Drosophila melanogaster: one gene and its partners. The gene in region 2 interacts genetically with the main gene of each other region. Each region holds a gene or a part of one and is shown on either strand. Other genes may lie near its edges.

Evidence for each region. A genetic interaction does not mean that the proteins touch.
Region 1: of kibra (region 2) and CycE, changing one suppresses a phenotype caused by changing the other (phenotypic suppression), as found in Drosophila melanogaster (2 studies listed by BioGRID).
Region 3: of kibra (region 2) and Snr1, changing one suppresses a phenotype caused by changing the other (phenotypic suppression), as found in Drosophila melanogaster (one study listed by BioGRID).

What each region holds. Positions count from the first base shown.
Region 1 is NT_033779.5:15,741,668-15,748,492, reverse strand, and holds the start of CycE (cyclin E), read left to right. Parts: upstream 1-1,882; 5' UTR 1,883-2,009; coding exon 2,010-2,038; exon of another isoform or gene 2,039-2,236; intron 2,237-2,849; exon of another isoform or gene 2,850-3,101; intron 3,102-6,825. UniProt on the Drosophila melanogaster protein: Essential for the control of the cell cycle at the G1/S (start) transition. Targeted by archipelago for degradation by the SFC ubiquitin ligase complex.
Region 2 is NT_033777.3:14,718,940-14,727,556, reverse strand, and holds the start of kibra (kibra), read left to right. Parts: upstream 1-3,295; 5' UTR 3,296-3,983; coding exon 3,984-4,246; intron 4,247-8,617. Other genes in the region: CG7530 (uncharacterized protein), read left to right, coding at 230-367, 1,410-1,517, 1,627-2,100, 2,168-2,398. UniProt on the Drosophila melanogaster protein: Regulator of the Hippo/SWH (Sav/Wts/Hpo) signaling pathway, a signaling pathway that plays a pivotal role in organ size control and tumor suppression by restricting proliferation and promoting apoptosis.
Region 3 is NT_033777.3:5,469,420-5,475,197, forward strand, and holds Snr1 (Snf5-related 1), read left to right. Parts: upstream 1-1,506; 5' UTR 1,507-1,639; coding exon 1,640-1,911; intron 1,912-2,405; coding exon 2,406-3,246; 3' UTR 3,247-3,335; downstream 3,336-5,778. Other genes in the region: POLDIP2 (polymerase (DNA-directed), delta interacting protein 2), read left to right, coding at 1-20; mRpL44 (mitochondrial ribosomal protein L44), read right to left, coding at 142-1,040, 1,093-1,159; HDAC3 (histone deacetylase 3), read right to left, coding at 3,457-4,526, 4,596-4,684, 4,747-4,904; CG45100 (uncharacterized protein), read right to left, coding at 4,954-5,070.

The sequences.
Region 1 (6,825 bases), on a different chromosome or scaffold from region 2:
GGAAAATCCAATTATTTAATATCCGTTAATCGAACAATCAAAGCAAAATTTATATAATACAATTTCTTTTCTAAAACCCCATTTAACATTAAGCACGTTGCACATCTTTTATTATTTTAAATACCCGATTTCCAGATATGATCAGCCCGGAAAAATAGTGAACTAAATATGCAGAGCAGTAAAAGTCAGGCTAACATAGAAGTTATTTTTCAAAATTTGAATAACGCGCCAATAAAAATCCCGCAACGCGATCGGCCGTAGTGGCAACGCCGCTGCCACTAAACTCCGACTCTCTCTTTGCGCCGTGTGGCCAGATGATTATGGCCTTTTTTTTTGCTCTTTCATCGCTCTCTCGATTTCGATCTCGTCACAGTGCCACTTGCGATCATTGTGTTACTTTGGAGTCGCTGAAAAATCGCGGGGATCGCATCGAATTGGCCTTGACTGCCGTGGGGTTGAGCTAGCCGTGAAAAAGACCGCAGAACCACGATAAATCTGTCGAAAAAGGTGACAAAAAGGAGGCTATACTGTCTTGCTGGCTGGCGTGCGTGTGTATGTGTGCGGCGGTGTGTGCAATTTTTTTCATCACCATTCCAGTCCGCGTGTGTTTTTCAGTGTGCAATCCCGCTGAGAATTTGCCCGAATCCTGCCCAACAGCAGGTGAGTGATGCCGGCCAATTGGCCCATTCGATTTGCAGCAGGTGCAGGGTTCAAAAGTTCGTGAACTTGCTTTTTAAGCCATTTCCTTTAGACCCCGTTTTCTCCATCGATATTGTAGCAGTCGAAAAGTAATGGAAAAAAAACGTGAGCAGCGACGTCGACGTTTTTGCCTCTTTCTCTCTCTGTTCCCCTGCCCCTCTCGCGCTCTCTTCCGCGCCTTCTCTTTGCGCGCGCAGCTGTCATCGCTGTCAGCAGCGCGCGCCGACGTCGGGTTCCCGCGCGCGGGAAATCATCAAGTTCAATCGATTCTAATTTGGCCGAATTGAACGGGATTTTCGATTTTAGTGAAAAATCAGATTCTGCGAGTTTTGATCTTTCAATTGGTTATAGGCACGCATGGTTTTTCATTTAGCTTACCTGATTTATAAGCGCTCGAAGTTGGTGCCAAAAATGCTCGAATGTTAATCGATGAAAACAACAAAGTGGCAGTGGTTTGTTTGGTTTCAAAGCAGCGTTACCACCTAGTTCGACCTCAGTCATCTTGTCATATGTTATTTGGCTGCAGTTCATAAAAACTACTAGAAAAGCATATTAAACCATGTAATTTCAGGCTTCTGAAGAATAAATAAATAATTAAAATTTTAAAGATTTATGAATACCCTTCAAGATAAATTTATTTTAACCTTGAATTGATTTTGGAGCGCTTTAAAAATATATTAAAAAAAATAGTTTCATATTAAAATTTAAATATTTATTTTCTGAAGGTCATATTTGAATTAAAATTGGCATATGACATAGAAATAAATCTTAGGTATTTATATATAACCACGATATATCCGACTAAATCCGCCCTTCTGGCATCCTCGTCAGCTGTTTTTCGACCACCCAGCTGACTGGACGTCGAACCTCCAATTGTAGTCTGACTAGCCTGTTGGGGACTGGGGACTCCAATTGCAGACTCCATTCAATAAAATGCCAAGCTTGCCACCAGCGGCTTCATCGCCCCGTCTCGCTTTCTCACGCTCTGTTCTTTGCGCTGGAGATGCTCGCCCCATCTCCGTCCCTCCCCTAGAGTACAACAAAGTTGCCCCCTGTGTTTGTTGCATTTTTTGGCGCTTCGGATCCGCCTGTTTTGGCGCGTTCCTCATGCACACTCGCCGCAGTCGACGTCGCTGCTTTTGATACCCAGTTCCACCAATTTTTTTTTCGGTTCCAAAGCGATCACTTTGCTGCCGCCGCTCCGCTGCTCGTGAAGTTTTTTCGTGGCCGGCGACGACGACGACGAAAAACTCTCGAAAAACGTTGTTCAATTCCCTTTAAGAAAAACAAGTGAAAACACCGGGGATATTATGTTAAGCATTTTTCCGCTTACTAGAAGGTAAAACCAATTGCACAATGGTTTTAGTGGATAAAAGGCAATACGTTATTCAGAGTGGAATAAAATTTATGACGCGTGTGCGGTGACAAGTGTGTGTGGAACAGTGAAGGAAAGAGCGGGAGAGAATGCTGCGTTTGCCGTCGTGTCTTTGCATTTTTTGCTACAAATACAACATCCTCTTATAAGAAAATTGACACGCTGTAGGATTTAACCGTTGCTTTCTGATTGGCAAGAGACGGGGTGTCCAACTACAAATTGTCTCCCCCACACAGTGTTTTAGTGTTCCCCCTATAAGGAAAAGTGTCCTATTAGAATTAAACCGTTATCCAATGGGAACAAATTGGAAAATCCTATGAAATAAATGAAAGCTTCTAATCACGTCTAAAAGTGCACTGAGTTTCTAATGCGTAACGGGAGTTCAGTGAACTATTACAGCTTTTCTTACTATAGAAGGCTTGAGATGCAGCTTATGGTTTACCCTGCTGTTTGGGCCAACTTTCTAATCTTTCTCCCGCCCGAATTGCACTTTTTCCCGCCATTCGCATAGATTTTGGGCGGTAAAACAAAACTGCCCCAGCCCAAACGCCTAATTCGCGCCACTTTGCGTTTCTCCATTCTTTTCCCATGCTCATTTCATTTTTATACGCTTCCTCCAATGACACACACACAAGCACAAACTTGGAAGAAATGCGCTCGCTAAGAGAGAGAGTAAGCTCTCTTTCTCTCGCTCTCTTCCGTTTTATTCCAATCAGAACAGCGAGTCAAGTTATTTTCCCCTTCCCAACACCAACAACAAACAAAAACGTTTTAGTACTGCGCTCTAAAACGGAAAAAAAGAGAGCATTTGACTGCGACGTCGAAAAAATTCGGAAAATCGCCGATCAGTCGACGGACCTTTCGAAAACTTGACGAACACGAAGCAGAGGTTCAAAGCAAAATGGAGTAAACGAGTGAAGAACAAAATAATGAATTATGTCAAAAGTGGCGCAAATATCTTTGGTACACGAAGAAAAAGATTGGTAGTGGCATTTAGCCCTTACCCACAATCTACGTACATACATATGTATGTATGTTTACATATGTAGAATTAATAATAGTATTTTAATTATTGTAAAATCGTGGTTATATTTATTTTTGTGAGTAGTTACTCTATGTACGTGCTCCCAACCAATGAGTGAGCGAGATAGACTGCCAAGTGGAGAATGGAGTTCATTGATATTTCTCGGCGTTTTGCTTTCGCTTCCCCTTCGTCTCCACCTTGCTTCGCGCCATCTTCGTTCTTTCCTCTTCTCCTCTGCTTCCATTTACCTGCCACATTCATTTTGTTGTTGTTTTCTTCGCAATTTTTGCTTTCTTCTTTATTTTTTGCATTCTTTTGACGTTTTTTAGTTTGCGTGTTCGCTTTTTGCGCCGTTAAACTTTTGGAGCGATCGCGGCGGGGGTGTGCGTGGGGGGTGGGTGGTGTATTGTTGATGGGGTGGATTTTTGTATACTTAATTTTTCGATTATGTCATGATCGTGCCGAAAATCAGCCGCTTATGTTTAGATTTGGCCAGTTTAAACCATGGGGAAATAAATTGTTTTTCTTAGAAGTGATTTTGAAAAAAGTAAGAGCATCAAGTTTTTGATGATTCAGTGTCGTGAATTTTGTATATTTTCCCAACATTTTCTTTTGTTTGACCCACCTAAACACTCCTTATATGATCTATTCAAATCCTAGTCAACACCTTTCAATTCTGCTCATGATCCTCCAAGTGCTTGCCACCTTCGAAAGCGGTATGTCATCAAAGGATTTTCTAGACGAGATGGGAACCCAAACTGATCTCGAATATTTTCTCATCATATGTACATACATACGTAAATGGTTATAGGAATCCACACATATCAACTGGCCATATTAACCCGAATTCCTAGTAAAATACCAACAATATTTCTCAATTACAAGTGCGGAATGTTTTACAAATATTACATGTTCTCCAAAAGGATGAGTTGTGAATAGTAACTCCTTAAATAAATGGTTCATATGTACATATGTATGTATATGTGGGCATTTTTTTTTTATAGTCCATACACATTTTTGTCGCTGCGGCAGAAGAATCCGATTCGGAATCGGAATGAGGTGAAGCCGTATGTATGAGGAGCAGAAACAACAATGATAAACAGTTTCCAGTTATTCCCAGACAAACAAAGGATAGTCCGTCCGACTGGCGATTTGTGGAGCGGGGAAGAGACAGGACGCAGGCCACTTGAGCTAGCTGACTCGCTGTGGGCATCCTTTTAGACGCTGCTAAATATAAACTAAATAGTCAATTGAGCGCGTCCCGATGTCCTAACGGCTACTTCAAGGCCATCGATTCTTGGAACTGGAACGCCGCCGTCGCCATCGCCGCCGCTGCCGCTCCATTCAAGAACTTTGATTTGTTCTCCTCCATCGGCTGGGCCGACTTTACTTTCACACGCCGTTTTGCCCAGGCGGCGCTCTTTAGATACCCGGCACACAGATACTCAGATACTCGGACTCACAGATACACTGATGCGCGCAGGCGAGGATCGACTTTCCTGTTCTCGTTTGCAGTACCCTGTAGTTCTGGGTAGGGTGGGCATATGCGACTGAAGCAACACAGCAAACTTGGGCCAATTGACCATTAGAATTTAAACGCATTCATGAGTATGAAAAGGAAGCATCAAAGATCGGGTTCAATTCAATGATGCTTATAAAGCAATCTTCGTGTATTGGTTTAAACTTTTAGTAGTATTATTTATAGTTTCATATTATGCAAATATGATTAGGCTTTCGATTTGAGAAAATATCTTCCTAATGAACTTCACCCTCTTACCCTATCAGCATTATGTAGCTATGTTGTTACACAACTCCTGCAGACTTTCGGTCCACCGAGTTCCAACTAATTGCAAGAGTGGTGGCCAAACCACAACAATGGAGAGGAGGCGGCATTGGCATGGACAACGCCACAAATGCCCAGATGCATGTGCATTTTTATCTCGAGTATCTCAGGAATGTATCTCGCCGCATGTGCAGAGGAGCCCAAAATGCAGCCCAAAAAGGACGCACAAAAATTGCAGGCCCAGACAGTTGAAGACGCCGGATAACTCGAGACCTGTTTTCCCTCTACATATGTACATATGTATATAGTCTGGCATATACTCGAGATACATACATATTTGTATATAATTTTTTTTGCGCTCTTCTTTGCGCATTTTGCGCATTCTTCTTTGCATTGCCTCAAGTTGCATTTCATATTGTATCTCGAGACTTGGTCCCATTTCCTTGTGGGAAATCTTCCGCACAAAGCAAATATTCCGAAGATGAGGGAAAAAAATACGGTCGACTTTATTTTCGACACTCGGTTTTCCAGTTAAATGACCTTGAAGGACCCCGTCCAGGTAAACAGATTCACTCATGCATCGTACACCTTTAATTAGGCGCTGTGCGCAAAGGAAACCCCCGAGTTTATCCGCTCGATCCGCGGCATTATTCATATTTGTATACCTGTCGCCGCGGATTTCGCCCGAACTCGCAGCCTTCTTCACTTAATCTTCATTAGAGGAAGTTGCAGCCGCAGCCTGCGTGTGGGCAGTTCCTGCAATTAGGTAGGAATCTATCTTAGTCACTGGTATTTGGACAAGAATTGGATTGCTCTAGCGATAATACAGTCATTTGTTTGCCAAGAGCCGCTGTCAACTGTTTTGTAAAACTAAAGGATATTATCGCATCCTTATTAACGAATATTAATTTTAGGACGTTTTGTGATTTACAAAAAAGATTACATTAATCCGACTATAAATGATGTTAGATGTGTAACATGATTACAACTGAGAGATAAATGTCTATTCTATTGCGTTTTTAGGTTTCTGCTGTATCTTAAAGATACAAATTGTTTCATAATGTTTTTTGAGCTCGAATATTTACAAAACCCAGATCTTTATATTGGGATTACGATTTAAATGATGATCTTATTAATTGTTTTAAGATTTTTAACATATTCTTAAATGACCAAAGAGACTTATTTTTCTGTGTAAGGAAATTTCTTTGTTGTAAGTAGAATAGTTAGGGGGTTGAAAACTAAGAAAGCAAAAATGCTCTAAAAGGACTTCGGGGAAGCAGAGGGAACCCAATTAATTAGAAGGCATATCCGCAATTAGTGTGAAAATGATGGTTGGAAACAGCAAAATATTGTGCATGAGAAAAGGCCGGAAAACGCAAAAGAAAAGCGAGGCAAAAAGTGAGGAAAATAGACAATCCGTTGCGTAAGAACAAGAAAGTAGGGGAAAGAAAGTCGTTGGCTAAAAAGCATTCGCATATGGGGTAGGAAAAAAAGGTGTCGAACTGAATGGTAGGCCGAAGGGAGGTCCATAAATCGTGGCGAATATAACGCCAGGCCCATATGTCACACGGAAAAAGGAAAATAAATGAAGGAAGAAAGGAAGCGAGGAGGGGAGGGAGGGGTAGGGCTAGGGGAAAAGGAAACGCGACAGGATACAATTAGCGAGGGGGAAGTCAATTGAAGTTACAAAAGCAACAGCAGAGACATTGCCAGAATCCTTTTAGTTGGGGTAGGATCTTCAACAGCTGCCACTCCACTCCCCTTCTCCAATCCCATCGACTCTACTCACCTGCCCCGCATCGCATCGAACCCATACTTACAGTTCTAACAGAAGGTCAGCGATCAACTCTAGCCACAACAGGTGCAACAGGGGCACTAAGGACTCGGCTCCTCGATATAATTAAGCGTTGTAAACCACTAGAAAATGCGGACGTTGCGCATGCG
Region 2 (8,617 bases):
GCAAACAAATCAATTTTTCGACTGCAGTTGCTCTATTGGCTAAAAATATACACAAATGTGCAGAGAAACAAACCCGCCAGTTGCCAACGTCAGTTTTCTAAGGCGGAAGAATATGAGTATAGATCTTGAGCATCGTTCTTGTCCTCAATTCAAATTAAGTTTCGAATTGCCGCTAATCGATAGGGTTTCCTCCATTTTAACTAATTCCATCTTAAATCTCTTTTCGCAGCTTGATGGCCAACTGGTTGCGGATTCGGTGGACGCAGCGCATCAATTTCCGTCCAATGAGGAGCCCAATATTCTGGGGCATGGACCCAACTACGACGACAAGCTGTCCAAATTCAAATGGCTGTGCAATTTCGATGATGTGAGTTAACCCCACGCGCGAACTTTGGTAGGGTCAATTTGTCGCCAATTGTCGCGCACTGAATTCTAATTGATCGCAAATTTTGTTTGGCGAATTGAAAAAATACGTCAGAATCAGGGACAAATCGCAGAAAATATTCACTCATTGCATTTTACATGGCTTTAACACTGATTTTGGCCAATTGTTATCGTCATACGTATGTATGTATGGCCAGAAAAGCATTATTAAGCGACCGTTGTAAAATGGCCAAAACGCTTAAATATGTGAAATCCGCCATGGCGGTCGAGTTGGCAGCAATTGCCAAATAATACAATTAGACAACGAACAAACCCACCAAATGCCAACTGAATCAAGGTCGCGACTAGCAACAAATAAAAAGCTCTGTGCTTCGCGGGCATTAAATATTTAAATAGCGGTGGCAAATAAAAAGAAGCTACTGTTGTTTTCTTTGGGTGGTATGCAAGTTACATACATATATGTTTGTGAAAATCCTCAAGGTAACTCCCGAATCGAATTTCTTGGGTTTTTCGGACCATGCTTAGTTTTGACCAAGTTAAATATTCGACTTCGAACTGGGCTTAAAACGGGCTTGAAATAATTACTGTTTCCGATTGAAAGGCATTAATTAAGGTAATAATACATAAATGCAGTGCAAAACTAGCTTAGCACTTGTTTAACTAATTAAATGGATTTTTTATAATATATAAAACTTAGCTAGTTAAATTCAAAGAAAGTAAATAATATACACAGTATTTGGCATTTAATCAATTCCCATACAAGATTGCTAACAACACAAATTGGATTAATTAGTTTTATTTTCTTTCAATTGAAGCAAATGGAAAGCTTTTTGGTTTTTTTTTTTTACATTCGGCGGGGTGCCAGATCCTCGAATTATTCCGTTTGTTTCTATTTTATTTTGTCATTTTGTCTATTTGGTTTTTATTTTATTTTCAATGCTACACGCATGCGATTTGCATGTCTTATCGGCTTGGAAAATTTTGTATTTATTTGGAATGTTTATTCACTTGTGCTTTCGATACAGGCCCCCAGTCACCTGAAGTTCAACCCGTACATTCGTCGCGGATACCGCACCTTTCTACCTTCCACAAAAATGTGCCTGCAGAGCATTTTCTGGTGGACCAATGAGACGGTAAGATTGCCACACTAGAATGATACTCCATTCCAATTGGAGCTACAATAGTTTTCCTTAAACTCTATTCCCTATTATTATAACATTATTATTGCTATATTTTTCATAGATCAACATCTGGAGCCATCTGGCCGGTTGCATCCTGTTCATTGGACTGACCATCTTCGATCTGCAGTTCCTGCGCCTCCACGCCTCCCTGAGCGACCAGGTGCTGGTGGTCTGCCTGCTGGTCTGCTTCTGTCTGTGCATGCTGATGTCCGCCATATACCACATCTTCTCCTGCAAATCGGAGGAGCACTACGAGCTCTTTCTGTCCGTTGACTTCCTGGGCATTTCGCTGTCGCTGGTGGCCATCTATATCAGTGGCATGTACTATGCCTTCTGGTGCCACACCTTCCTGCGCACCCTGTACTCCACGATTGCACTGGGCATGTTCGCACTGGCCATTGCCGTGCAGATACCCCGTTTGAATGTGTCCATGAACGGCAAGGTGGCGGTGCTGCTACTCTGGTCTGCCTATGGAATCATACCTCTGGGCCACTGGGCGGTGGCCATGGGCGGTCTGGAGAACGAGCTAGTCAGGGTAGGCATCAGTTGGAAATTTATGGAATCTTGTCATTTGCTAATCCATCAATCATTACCATTTGCAGCTGATGGTGCCCCGCATCGTGCTCATGTACTTGCTCTGCCTCGTCGCCTTCGTTTTCTATGCGGCCAAGATTCCGGAGCGCTGGTTCACCGGCAAGGTGGACTTCGTTGGGCATTCGCACAACTGGTGGCACCTGATCATCGTGGCCGCCTTCTATCACTGGCACAACACCGGACTGGTCTATGCCGAGTATCGCCTGAATAACGGATGCACTGCACCAGTTCTCTCCTAGAACTTGAAGATCCGAACATCTGAGTTAAGATCCGAAGATCCGAGGAGCGGAGATGGAATCCGGGACTCTAGTAGACTAAAGCTTAGTGTAAATAGTTTATGGGGCGCTCTTTATCCGCTAATAACTAATATTTAGTTGTAGTTGTTGACCGATATGATTAATTTATGTTTAATTTACCAATTAGTTAGGGTTTCGTGTTAGACAATCCAGATCCAGATAGTTGGCATCGCATAAGCGGCAAAAAGGTTTCTCTCTTTATATCCTAATTGATTTCCTTTAATATATACAATTAAACAATGTCAATGAAATTGCATGTGTCTTGAGCTGAAGCTGTGTTAGTCTTGTTGACTCAATTTTTACAATTCATAAAATGCAAATACAATATCAAACGTACAAAGCAAGCGAAATTGTGGTTTTATTGAAGTTATGTTTCGGAAACATAATTTATTTTTCTATCTATGGTTGGGATACATATTGATTTCGAAATGCGTAACTCAGTTTACAGTCTTTTTTTTTAAATTTTTTCTTTTTCTGTTTTTAAAATGTAACGGAAATGTTAGGATTAAGATAACAGTAATTGTTAACAGAGCGAGTTAACATGATCTATCGGAACTGGCTTTGATTAACATCGCTTGAAGAACCGAACTAGTTCCTGTTACCAAGCCGATCTTTGAACGTACAACTCCTATTTTCTTCCCTCAACAATTACACCTATGCTTGGGGACTACACAAGCCAAATAACAATAAATACTTTTCGTGCATGATTGTTAAATATCGCATCTCTGCAACCGCGTCAATACAGCCTATAATATCGATATCAACCAATACATCGAATAACATCGCCGCGAGTGTATCGATATGCAATGCGATGTTTTCTGCTACACCACTAGCAGCGAATGTTACCAAAACAAATTCCGAATCCGAATCGGACGGTCATCAAGCGCGCTACTCGTGTTTTTTGCTGCTCCCCCAAGGAATTCCGGAACCGAAGAGATCGGCGACGGCGCGAACTCACTAAACTGAAGTACATATTTTTTTGTGAACACCAAGTGGATGGTTGGATTATCGTCGTTAATTAGTTTCAATTAGGCGAAAATAAGAAAATAAGTAAAGGAGTTCAAACGCTTGCAACAACAAGAAATGAAAAGAAGCAGCACCAACTGTGAGCAGTGATCGTGTGCGCTTGTGTTCGTCCCCCATATGTGTGCGTGTGTTTGAGCTGGAATGGAATGCAGTTACGAAAAAAGTAAATAAATAATTGAGAGCGCGCCCGCGCTCTCCCGCTCTCTCTCCCCTGCGCGCGTGTGTATTCGAGTTGGCTCGGTGTGTGCCTCTACGCCCGTCACCGTGTGGCCGTGTTGTGTGTGTGTGTGTGCGGGTCGGTCTCCATTATCGCCGGAGCAAAAGAAACGGAATTGAAATGTCTTTGCTAATGTAAACAGCGCAAAGAGAAACCCCCCGAAAAAAGAAGCAAACGTAGATAGCAATAGCGAAAAGAAAGAAAAGGCGCGCGTCGGGTGAAAAATCCAGCAACAACGACGTTTTCTCAGACTAACCAAAGTACACGGCGAGAAACAAAGTTAAAATGCCGAATCTGCAACAAACCGCATCGCAATCGCAGCATCATCTGCATCCCCACCACCTGCGACCCCAACAGCAGCAACAGCAACATCATCATCATCATCAACAACAGCAACAACAACAACACACGCATCATCAGCAGCAGCAACAACACCACAGCGACTTCCCACTTCCCGATGGCTGGGATATCGCCAAGGATTTCGATGGCAAGACCTATTACATAGATCATATCAACAAGAAGACCACCTGGCTGGATCCCAGAGATTGGTAAGTGTTCCGGAAAGGGTCAATTAAAGAAACGAAATTGAAACAAGGGCGATCTGAAATATAATTATAAGATATTTGCATTTGGAAAGTTAGTTTAAACTTATTAAAACTACTAGAACAATTATCAGAAATGAGGCATACATAACGAATGACCAAACCAACAGGTTGTGTTTTAAATAAGTTATAGATGCTTTAACATCGCAAACTATCAAGAGTGCTTATAAACCCCAATTGCTGCTTAATGGCTAATAAGTGAAGCAGATAACTCATTGAGAATCAAATTAAAATAGAATAAAATTCTTGGCAAGTTGTTAGTGGCTTAAGAAGGCATAAAACGCAGGTGAGAGATCAGCAGTTCACTCATTCAGGAAGCTCCGGCAAACGAGCTAAAAAAAAAACCCATATAAATTCCGATTCCGAAGCGCTCTTGAACCGGAAAGAAAAGGTGCGTGCTGCAGCTGTGTGTGTAAAGGAATGCGATCGGTGGAGGCGAAATGAAGCAAAAAAAAAAAAGAAAAATAAAAGGAAAATAAAATAAAGAGGCAGCAGCAAAATAAATTACATATTTTAAACAAGACAGCAGCGGCAGCAGGCAAAACAAAACGCAACGGAACGGGGGAAAAACTTGGAGTAAACATTCCGATGCGATGATTAAGACTCCGAATATAACTGAACTGAACAGAGAGTGGCAACAAACAAAAAATGGATTGTAAAGCCAGGGAAATACAACAACAAAAATTCGAGTGAGAGAGAGCAAAAGTTAAATAAAGCTCGGCGAATGATCTGTAAAATAAAAGGAAAACAAAACCAACAAACTCATACGTAATGAGTGCGAGAGAGCCAAAGGAGAGCGAGCGAGAGCGCTGGCGATCAGGCCATGTATCTCATAGATACATTTTAGTTTGCCGTTCGCTCACATTTTTTGTCTTCCATCTCGCTCGCGCCCCTCGCTGCCGCCCCACTCGCCATCTCTGTCTGTTGCTTTGCCCATAAACAATTGCAAAATGTACGTAGGAATTTTTGCAGTTTCGAAATAATTGATTTCTGAAATTCTTCGCCCTCTCTTTCGCTGAGTTCAATTTTTCGCTTTTCACAGATAGAGAAATGTGTAGTGTTAGATGGATTTTGTATCTTCAATTGCTCGATAGCAAATGCTTATTGCCTTTCTGCAGTTGTACAGCATTTTCATTGACATTAGACACACTCTATAATTTCAATATCACGTTGCAAATGATTTATTAAGCCATCAAAGCTTGAATATTAATTTTTTCCAGTGCATTTCTATCTGTGTACGCCTTATTGTTTCAGTTCGTTTGGTGCTGTGTGCGCTTCACGCTTTCAATTAACACAAACATTCCCTTTGTTTGTTTCAAATCGCATGGACATTGTTGAAAATGTTTCACTGAATTAAGCGTTGTGGAATTTCAGCTCTTCCGCCCGCCCGCCTTTGAAATTGAAACGAAACATCTGCGCATTTGCTAGGGTTATGCATCAAGTAGATTATAAATGCACACATGTCGTTCAAATGTCTGCCAGTGGGCACAAAAAGTCAGCGATCTATGAGCGTTACGTTCCGATTTCGGGGTTATAGAAATTTAAAGCTTAAATGACCTTAGGGGATTTACTTACTATTTGAAAAACCAATCAGATTATGAAGAGGGATACCATAGAATATAAGAAATAAAAACAAGAGTAAATGTTTTATTGGTATTTTCTGTATACATCTGCAAAGTATGTCTTCGAATTTAACTAACTATTCCATATTTTTCCAAAATAGTTTTACCATTTCTATTGACCAAACAAAACTATTTAATGCTGTATACACCCCTTATTGGTATTTTGCCCAGTCGCGCATATTTTGTATCCAAATCATATACGCTTTTTGGTCCCCTCTTCGGCTGTCTATCGATCCCCCGCATCCAACTTGCTATTGCTATTGAATTTTCAAAATTGCTGCCGGTAGCGCGCAAAAATTCCAATAAACCATAAATAAATTTCTACAATAAAGCGAAGCGAGCCAGGCCTCGGGCAACCTTTAAAGGCCTCGCCACGTTTCGAGCACAGCCAACAGAAATCACAGAAAAAATAAATATCTATTCCAATATGAGCATGCAAGGTCGAATTATCGATACCCTTGAAATATTTTACCGATAATTGCTTGGGCCGGCTTTGACGCAGGTTTTTCTAAGGTTTTCTAAAATTAAATAAACATGTTTGCAATAGTTTAACAGTAGATTCTGTTTGTAATGTCTATAATTTTCAAATTCGGCTTAAGTTTAGGCATTATCCTCATTAGATAGTAAATCGTGTAAGATTCAATCAATTAATTAGATGACTTTTGTCTGTAAACTAATAAAATGACTGATCAAAATAATGGATTTTAAAATTCGCAGCGTATTCAACTTAAGTAAATGTTCATACAGCATTTCGACGGGCGGTATTTTTTGTGATTTTCGTTGCTGTTGGCTCTCTTTTGTTTTTTGTATAAACAAAAGTTAACAACGACTTGACTTGGCCATGCGATTTGGCATTTTTTCGACGCCCGTCTTCTTCTTTCGTTGCTCATATTTTTTCGCAAGTTTTTGTGTATTATTTTTTTTACCAATTGTTTAGCCATAAACAAGGCGGCGACATAGTGGAATATTTTTCGTGTGCGTTTTTAGACAGAAAACGTGTTTGGTGACAGTATTTCGATCTATTCATAGGAGCTACAAAAAAAAGAAATAACCAAAAAAGCACGGGGAAAAAATCAAAGTATGAAATAGCAACAAAATCGTTTGGCTACCAGTTGGGATAGTGATTCGAACTCGTTTGTTTTACATAAACTCAAATCGCCGCCAAAAAGGCCTAGCGAAAGCGGTTAACGATCGCTGTCATAAGTCGGACAGAGTGGCGCCAGCGGCGGGGGCTGTACTTGAGTATCTGCATCCGATCGGTAGCACAGAAAAAGATATAAAAAAGCAATAGGTGCACCGCAAGAAACGGTGCAACGGTATTCTAATAAATGAGTCAGTTCATTGGTATATCTTACTACATTAACTTAACCTTATCATCAGTATGTTGCCATATTTCTCGCTGTGTACTCTAGTCCCAACCAGATTGTTGCGTTCTAATTCCACCTGTGGCATTTTAATTCGAGAGCGGACAATCGAGCGGTTGGTTCGATTTCGATGGATCGCCGGATGGCCGGATTGCTGGATTGCTGGATTGCTGGATCGGCCAATTGCATAAAGAACGCAAATCGGGCGATCGAAACAAGAGCTGCAAAATAGGGGAGAGGCGTGAATGCGTGTGCTGCCAGGCATTGTGCATTAGATGTGGCGATTTCTATCCGACTCAAAACGAGCTAAAAAAATTTGCATAAAATTCAATTTGGCTTTTGCGGCGAAAGATGCCAGCACATCCATACGCGTATGTATAAAGATACATGCATATATAAGTATAACTATTCGTACATATATATAGATATATATATATATGCGCTGGTCTGTACATGTATAGCAACTTGGAAAGCTGCAAAACGGCATTTTTCATTTAATAAATTGCACAAGGCAATGCAGCAACAACAGCGGCAGCAAGAAAAGTGGAAAGAATGCAGATGCAATTGCCGTTTGCTGCTGCTGCACCTACAGTGATAAATGCCATAAAAACAATGTCAAAAGATTGCAAAACAGTCTTTATTGCACCCAAACTGATTCAAATGTACAAGTAGCGAGCGTAAAAGATAGATGAAATGTTTCAATGAATACGCTAATACATATTTCAGTTTACGTTATTGTAGTAACATTTTAAATTGCAACAGCAGTGGCACTTAGGCAATAACCACTGTACGCGGGCAACAGATGCAGATACACGGCAGCGGCATCAGCAGCAACAACAACATGCAGCATGCATTGCATTTGTGCAACAAGTATTTCCACTTAACAACAGCAACAACAGGCAAGTAGAAATTGTTGTTGCTGCTGTTGCAGTTGCTGCTGCTGCGACTGCTGCTCCCTGCTGCAGTCGAAGTTGAAGCCGTGATTACAATTTGATTACGCGCATGAATGCAACGCGCGGCTTTGCCAGCAGCAACATTTTCTAGTTTGCTTGCTGTACGCGGCCCAAAGCGTTAAAAAATATTTTCTTTTGCACTTGCGATCAGCGGCAGCAGCATTTGCAGCACTTGCAGTACCAGCAACTGCAACAGCGACACTCGTTGGCCAAAGATAGGCACATGGGCACATAATGTATCTGACAGATACATAAGCGAACTTTAGTCGCTCCTCGCAGCACCGCATGTTTTGTCCATTTAAGCGTCTGTTTTTCCACCAGAGCCGCGGCTCGCTGCAACTTGCCACCAACTGCCATCTAAAAAGTGGCAACAACTTC
Region 3 (5,778 bases), 9.3 Mb from region 2:
AGCGCGACGATAGCGATTAAGAGGCAGTTGTTCACCCGTAGTTAAATGATTTTAAAACGCAATCTTTTCTGACAATGCATGCGTACATGTGTTTAGTGCAAATTACAATAATCAACAAGGACGCAGAGCCAGTTTTGATTCTCAGCCAAGTCGCACGGTCTTTGGTTCTAGCTGAATGGCAAAGTCAAAGGGTCTCCGGTTGTCGCGGGTGTCAAAGATGCTCTGCAGAGCGTCGAGTGCCGCAGTCTCTGTGGCTGTTTTCACATCTTCACCGAATCCCTTGCCCAGTAGCTGCCGGTTGGCGTAGATGCCTACTTGGTAGGCGGCTAGCACAGTGTTCTTTCCGCAGTCTCCAAGCAGGCGGGGCTCCGCTTCGCCCAGCTTTCGCTCCTGGCATATCTTCTCCAGCAGCTGGATTGGTTCCTGGGGAGTCCACACCTCCAACAGGTCCTTTTGATTCAGTTGCGTGCAGATGAAATCGCGTACAAAAATGAAAGCCCTCTCGATTCCACTGGAACTGGCCAGGGCGCCAATAACTGCGTGTAAAGATTTGGCCTGACTTTCGGCCGAGGGCGGGTATTCCGTAGACTGTATCAGATCCTTTGTGCCCAGGTGGGTCGAGACGTGAGCAAGCGTTTCGGTGCTAAGTAGATAACTGGCGATCGCCTGGAGTCCTTCATTAGGGACCTTCGGTAACTGGTGCTGCAGGAAGGCCTCAACGTAGGCACGGGCAATTTGTTGGCCCTTCTCGACCAGATCGCTATTGTGAGGCATCTGGAGGTCAGACTCCTCAATGCCTAGCTGCCGACGACGATCCTCCTCCCGCTCTGCAAACGATTTCTCTGTAAAAGCACGCTGCAGCTCCGACAATTCAAAGGATTCGCCCAAACGCTTGCCGAACGCGAAGAGCTCCGATCGCTGGTTCCACTCCACGAACCCAGAACGCCGCTCTGGCTTTTGTGGTCCTAGTTTCTTCTGCCGGTGGGCGAGCTCACGTAACGTTGGCGAAACCCATCGCTTGATGTGGCGCCTCGTTTGCACTGCCGAAAATCACGATTACTGACTGGCATTAGGTGAATCCGGGTTACTCACCAGTCGGTGAGCCCTCCAAGAGCTTGACACGAGCCAGGAGACCAACAGCACTGCGTAAGAATGACATCTTTAAAGCGATCTTAAAAATAAGTAACGAATATGTTTTCGCGCATGGGAACTAGTGTTGCACGGGTTTTTGTGGCAGTGATGGCAGTCTAACCGTAAATATAATTTTATAACTTATAACTTAACTTATACATTTTAATAATATTTGTTTCTTGTTGTTTCTATATTTATTCAGAGATGTATAATTAAAAAAAAATAATAATAACTAAATATGTTTCTTTATGAATTATAATTTTATCATTTAATCGAGTAATTATAACGAAAAATACTTTCAGCTTTTTATTTAGCGTTTTGTAGCTAAAAGGCGCCAGTACTAAATTGCGTTGGTGGCACCCGCTCGTTTTCCAACACTCCCGCAATAGACGCCATGTACATGTCTGTGTTTGTGTATGCGCCAAGAAAATTTAAGTCGCGGAATATTAACAAGGAATCCCTGCCAGAAACAGGGCATTGAGAGACCACAGAAGAAAATATACCCAACATGGCACTGCAGACATACGGGGACAAGCCGGTGGCCTTCCAGCTGGAGGAGGGCGGCGAGTACTACTACGTGGGCTCGGAAGTGGGCAACTACATGCGCCACTTCCGCGGCATTCTGTACAAGAAGTACCCGGGAATGACCCGCATCGTCCTGTCCAACGAGGAGCGCAAGCGGCTGGCTGAGTCCGGCCTCAGCTCCCACATCTTAGCCAGCTCTGTATCGCTGCTCCGCGCCGTAGAGGTGGATGATATCATGGCCGGCAACGATGAAAAGTAAGTGGGCGTCTTACCTAAGTAATGTCCCCAGAATAGTAACTAAATAGGGCCTTTCCTAAAAATTCCAATTAACTTCGTTGATATCTACTTCCTACTAGTCCTACTTAAACGTTTGTTTTTAAATGTTTAATCCAATGGTATCAAGTAATCCTTTTATCAAATATAAGACATGTGTACATTTGGCTGAAGATTCTTCATTTTAGTAACATTGTTAATGACCACTTAGTTAAAAACCACTTATCATTCTGAAGTGAAGACGTATACAAACACACATAGCCACACACTGCCCAGTTATTTTGAAAAAATATGGAAAAATGTCATAGACATTTTTGGCAAAGCTGCCACAATAGTCTGTATGATTGACAACGATTTCCAATTGAGCACGGAGAATTGTATTATTGTCAGAATGTTGGGTAAATTTTGCCTGCTTGCAGGGCCAATCAGTCAATTTGCTAACAGTTGATTTAACTAACCATGAATCTCCGTCCCAGGTATCGCGCCGTCTCCGTGAACACTTCCGATACGCCAGTGCCGCGGGAGAGCAAGTCAAAGAAGCAGCCACAGTATGTGCCCACGATGCCGAACTCCAGCCACCTGGACGCAGTGCCACAGGCCACGCCAATCAACCGAAACCGAGTGCACACGAAGAAGGTTCGCACATTCCCGATGTGTTTCGACGACACGGATCCCACGGCTAGCCTGGAGAATGCGGCGCAGAAGGAGTGCCTGGTGCCCATTCGACTGGACATGGAGCTAGAGGGTCAAAAGCTGCGCGACACCTTCACGTGGAACAAGAACGAGAGCATGATTACTCCGGAGCAGTTTGCCGAGGTGCTGTGCGACGACCTGGACCTCAATCCCCTGCCCTTTGTGCCGGCTATTGCACAGGCCATCCGACAGCAGATCGAAGCCTTTCCCAACGATCCCCCCATCCTCGAGGAGACCTGCGACCAGCGGGTCATTGTTAAGCTGAACATTCACGTGGGCAACACCTCGCTCGTCGACCAGGTCGAGTGGGACATGTCCGAGAAGAACAACAACCCCGAGGAGTTTGCCATTAAACTCTGTGCGGAATTGGGATTGGGAGGAGAGTTTGTTACGGCCATTGCCTACAGCATTAGGGGTCAGCTATCGTGGCACTGTCGAACGTACGCCTTCAGCGAGGCCCCTCTATCAACGATTGATGTGCCCTTCCGGAATCCCAGCGACGCTGACGCATGGGCGCCATTCCTAGAGACGCTTACCGACGCCGAAATGGAGAAGAAAATCCGCGACCAGGACCGCAACACGCGCAGAATGCGACGACTGGCCAATACCACAACTGGTTGGTGATCTTCCGCCGATCCAGCAATGTGTCACTAATGTAATCCTCCTATTAAGTACCATTATGCATCCCAAATAAATGTGTGTCTGTCGATTTTAAAACCTATTGTCTTCTACGCGCTACTTCCAAAAAAAATAGTTCCAAACGATGTTACAAAATAAGCTGATACTCTTTACTGCTTACGCTAAACTCGAATCCTTATTCTACATTATCCAATACTAACTTTCTGCCGAATCGGGCTTGTCTTGGTCCTGATCGCCGTCGTAGAACTCGTTCTTAGCATCAACCAGCTTGTCCTCATCGGCTACGGATATTCGCACGTCGGGATCACTCGCCTCCTCCCGGTTGCTGCGCAGCTCCTCCAAGTCCACATCAGGCGGGGTCTGCACCATTTGGACGCTGGGCGAGTGCTGGCACATCTTAAGGTTTTCATACACATGCTTAACGATGAGTTCAAGATACTGCTTTGAGTTAGCATTATCTTGGCGTGAGTTAATCTCTGGATGGAGTGTAAAGTCGGGGGCGAAAAAGTCGTAATACTCGGTGGCGGGTAGGTCATTTTCAATGTCTTGGTCCACCAGCAGCGAGGTCTCGTGCGTCCAGCAGCGGGCCACGTTCCGTAAGGTGTAGCCACCGCCTCCGACCACCAATGTGGGTACGTTCAGTTCCTTCACAAATTTGACACACTCACCATGTCCCTTGGTGCTCAGGGAGAAGCAACCTAGTCGATCTCCAGCTAGTGAATCCGCGCCACACTGCAAAACGATAGCCGTGGGCCGGTAGAAGTCCATAATGGCAGAAATTATGGGTTTGAACACCTGAAAATAGCTCTGGTCATCAATGCCCTCCTTTAGCGGCACATTAACGCTGTAGTATCGTCCCGATTCGGCGCCTATCTCGTACATGTCTCCCGTGCCGGGAAAAAAGTAGTTTCCGTATTTGTGGAACGAAGCCGTCATCACTCGGTCCGTAAGGTAGAACGCCTCCTGCACCCCGTCGCCGTGGTGCACATCGATGTCGATGTAGAGCACCCGAGGATGGTACTTAAGCAGCTCCAGAATGCCGATGACGATGTCATTCACGTAGCAGAATCCGCTTGCCTCGAACTTCTTGGCGTGATGCAGTCCGCCCGACCAGTTTATGCATATGTCGCTGTGGTTGTGGTTCAGCTTCTGGGCTCCCTCCAGCGAGGCACCCGTGTACATTGCACAGAAGTCGAAGAGGCCATCGAACACGGGACAGTCCTCGCCTACGCTGAAGTGCGCCAGGTACTTCGTATAGGCCACGGCTTAAGAACAGAAAATTATCAGATTATTCTAAATGTTATTCCAATTGGGCGACTTCCTCTTCAACTCACAATTGCACTGAATGTTTTGTGGAGTCACCTGCTGTAAGTAGGCGATGTACTCGTCGCTGTGGAAGCGGAGCATGTCCTGCGCACTGGCCCTGCAAAGAATTCCGGATTAGTATAATTTACGCGGCACAGACACACCTCTCCGCCAACTCACTTGTACGGCCTGTAGATCTTCATTTTCTTGTGCAGTCCGTAGTTCATTACCAGGCTGTGAGTGACCGCCAGGCGTTGCGGCTTCATGGGATGCCCGGCTCCATAGTGGAAGTTGCCCACGTCCGCGTTGTAGAAGTACGACACCCTACGGTCCGTCATCGCGCCAACTTCTCAATTGGATCGGTTATTGCAGGGACGCCGTAGTCCCCTAGTTGTGGACCAAATCCTCGCCGGGCAGCAGGTACGTCTTCGCATACAGGACAATCAGCAGAACGGCCACGATGAAAAGGAGTCGCCGGGTTGTGTCGTATTCGCCCAACAGCATGCCGCTCCCGTGGTCACCTTTGGGTACCTTTGTTTAATCGTGAGATATCAATTTGCTAACTTATTGCCAATTGAAGACAACTTAAAGCGGCGTGCGCCGATAGTGTACTAAAAATGGACATAGCTAGTGATGTACAAACGCACAGTCACGTCACGAGAGCATCCCTATGGTGATGCTATAATTTTTGTTCTGCTCAATTCACAAGTCTCTCTGTGCATGTGGTTTTATTTTATTTTTGGTCGATGTAAGGAAGGCTAGATGTTGTAAAATATACGTGTGTCTTTTAGTTTTCATTTAGGTTTATTTTTAAGCCTAATGTATTAAATGAAATAAATACACGAACGTACGCTTGCCAAAAAAAAAACCCGCCAGATATGACCGAAAGCCGCCGGGCCGGCAGCACTGTCCAGTTAGTTTATCTTCTATTTTGATTTTCTAATTCGACTCTGCTCGCGCTAATTTTCGTGATAGAGAATATTGGAATATTGGAATACGCGTATTGGAGTATTGGAATTGGAGAATGCAGTAATCAACAATAAAAGTCAGTGGACAAGGGAATGCAGAAAGTGTGTCAACTGGCTAAAAACGGCGAATCAGGAAGCGCTCCTTTGGGCAACCGATAAATCCGCCAGCCGAGCAAAATCGGAGCCAATTACGAAACCGCCATTGATTTTGGTTCCCATCAATATGTAAGTTGTGCCCCGGCTT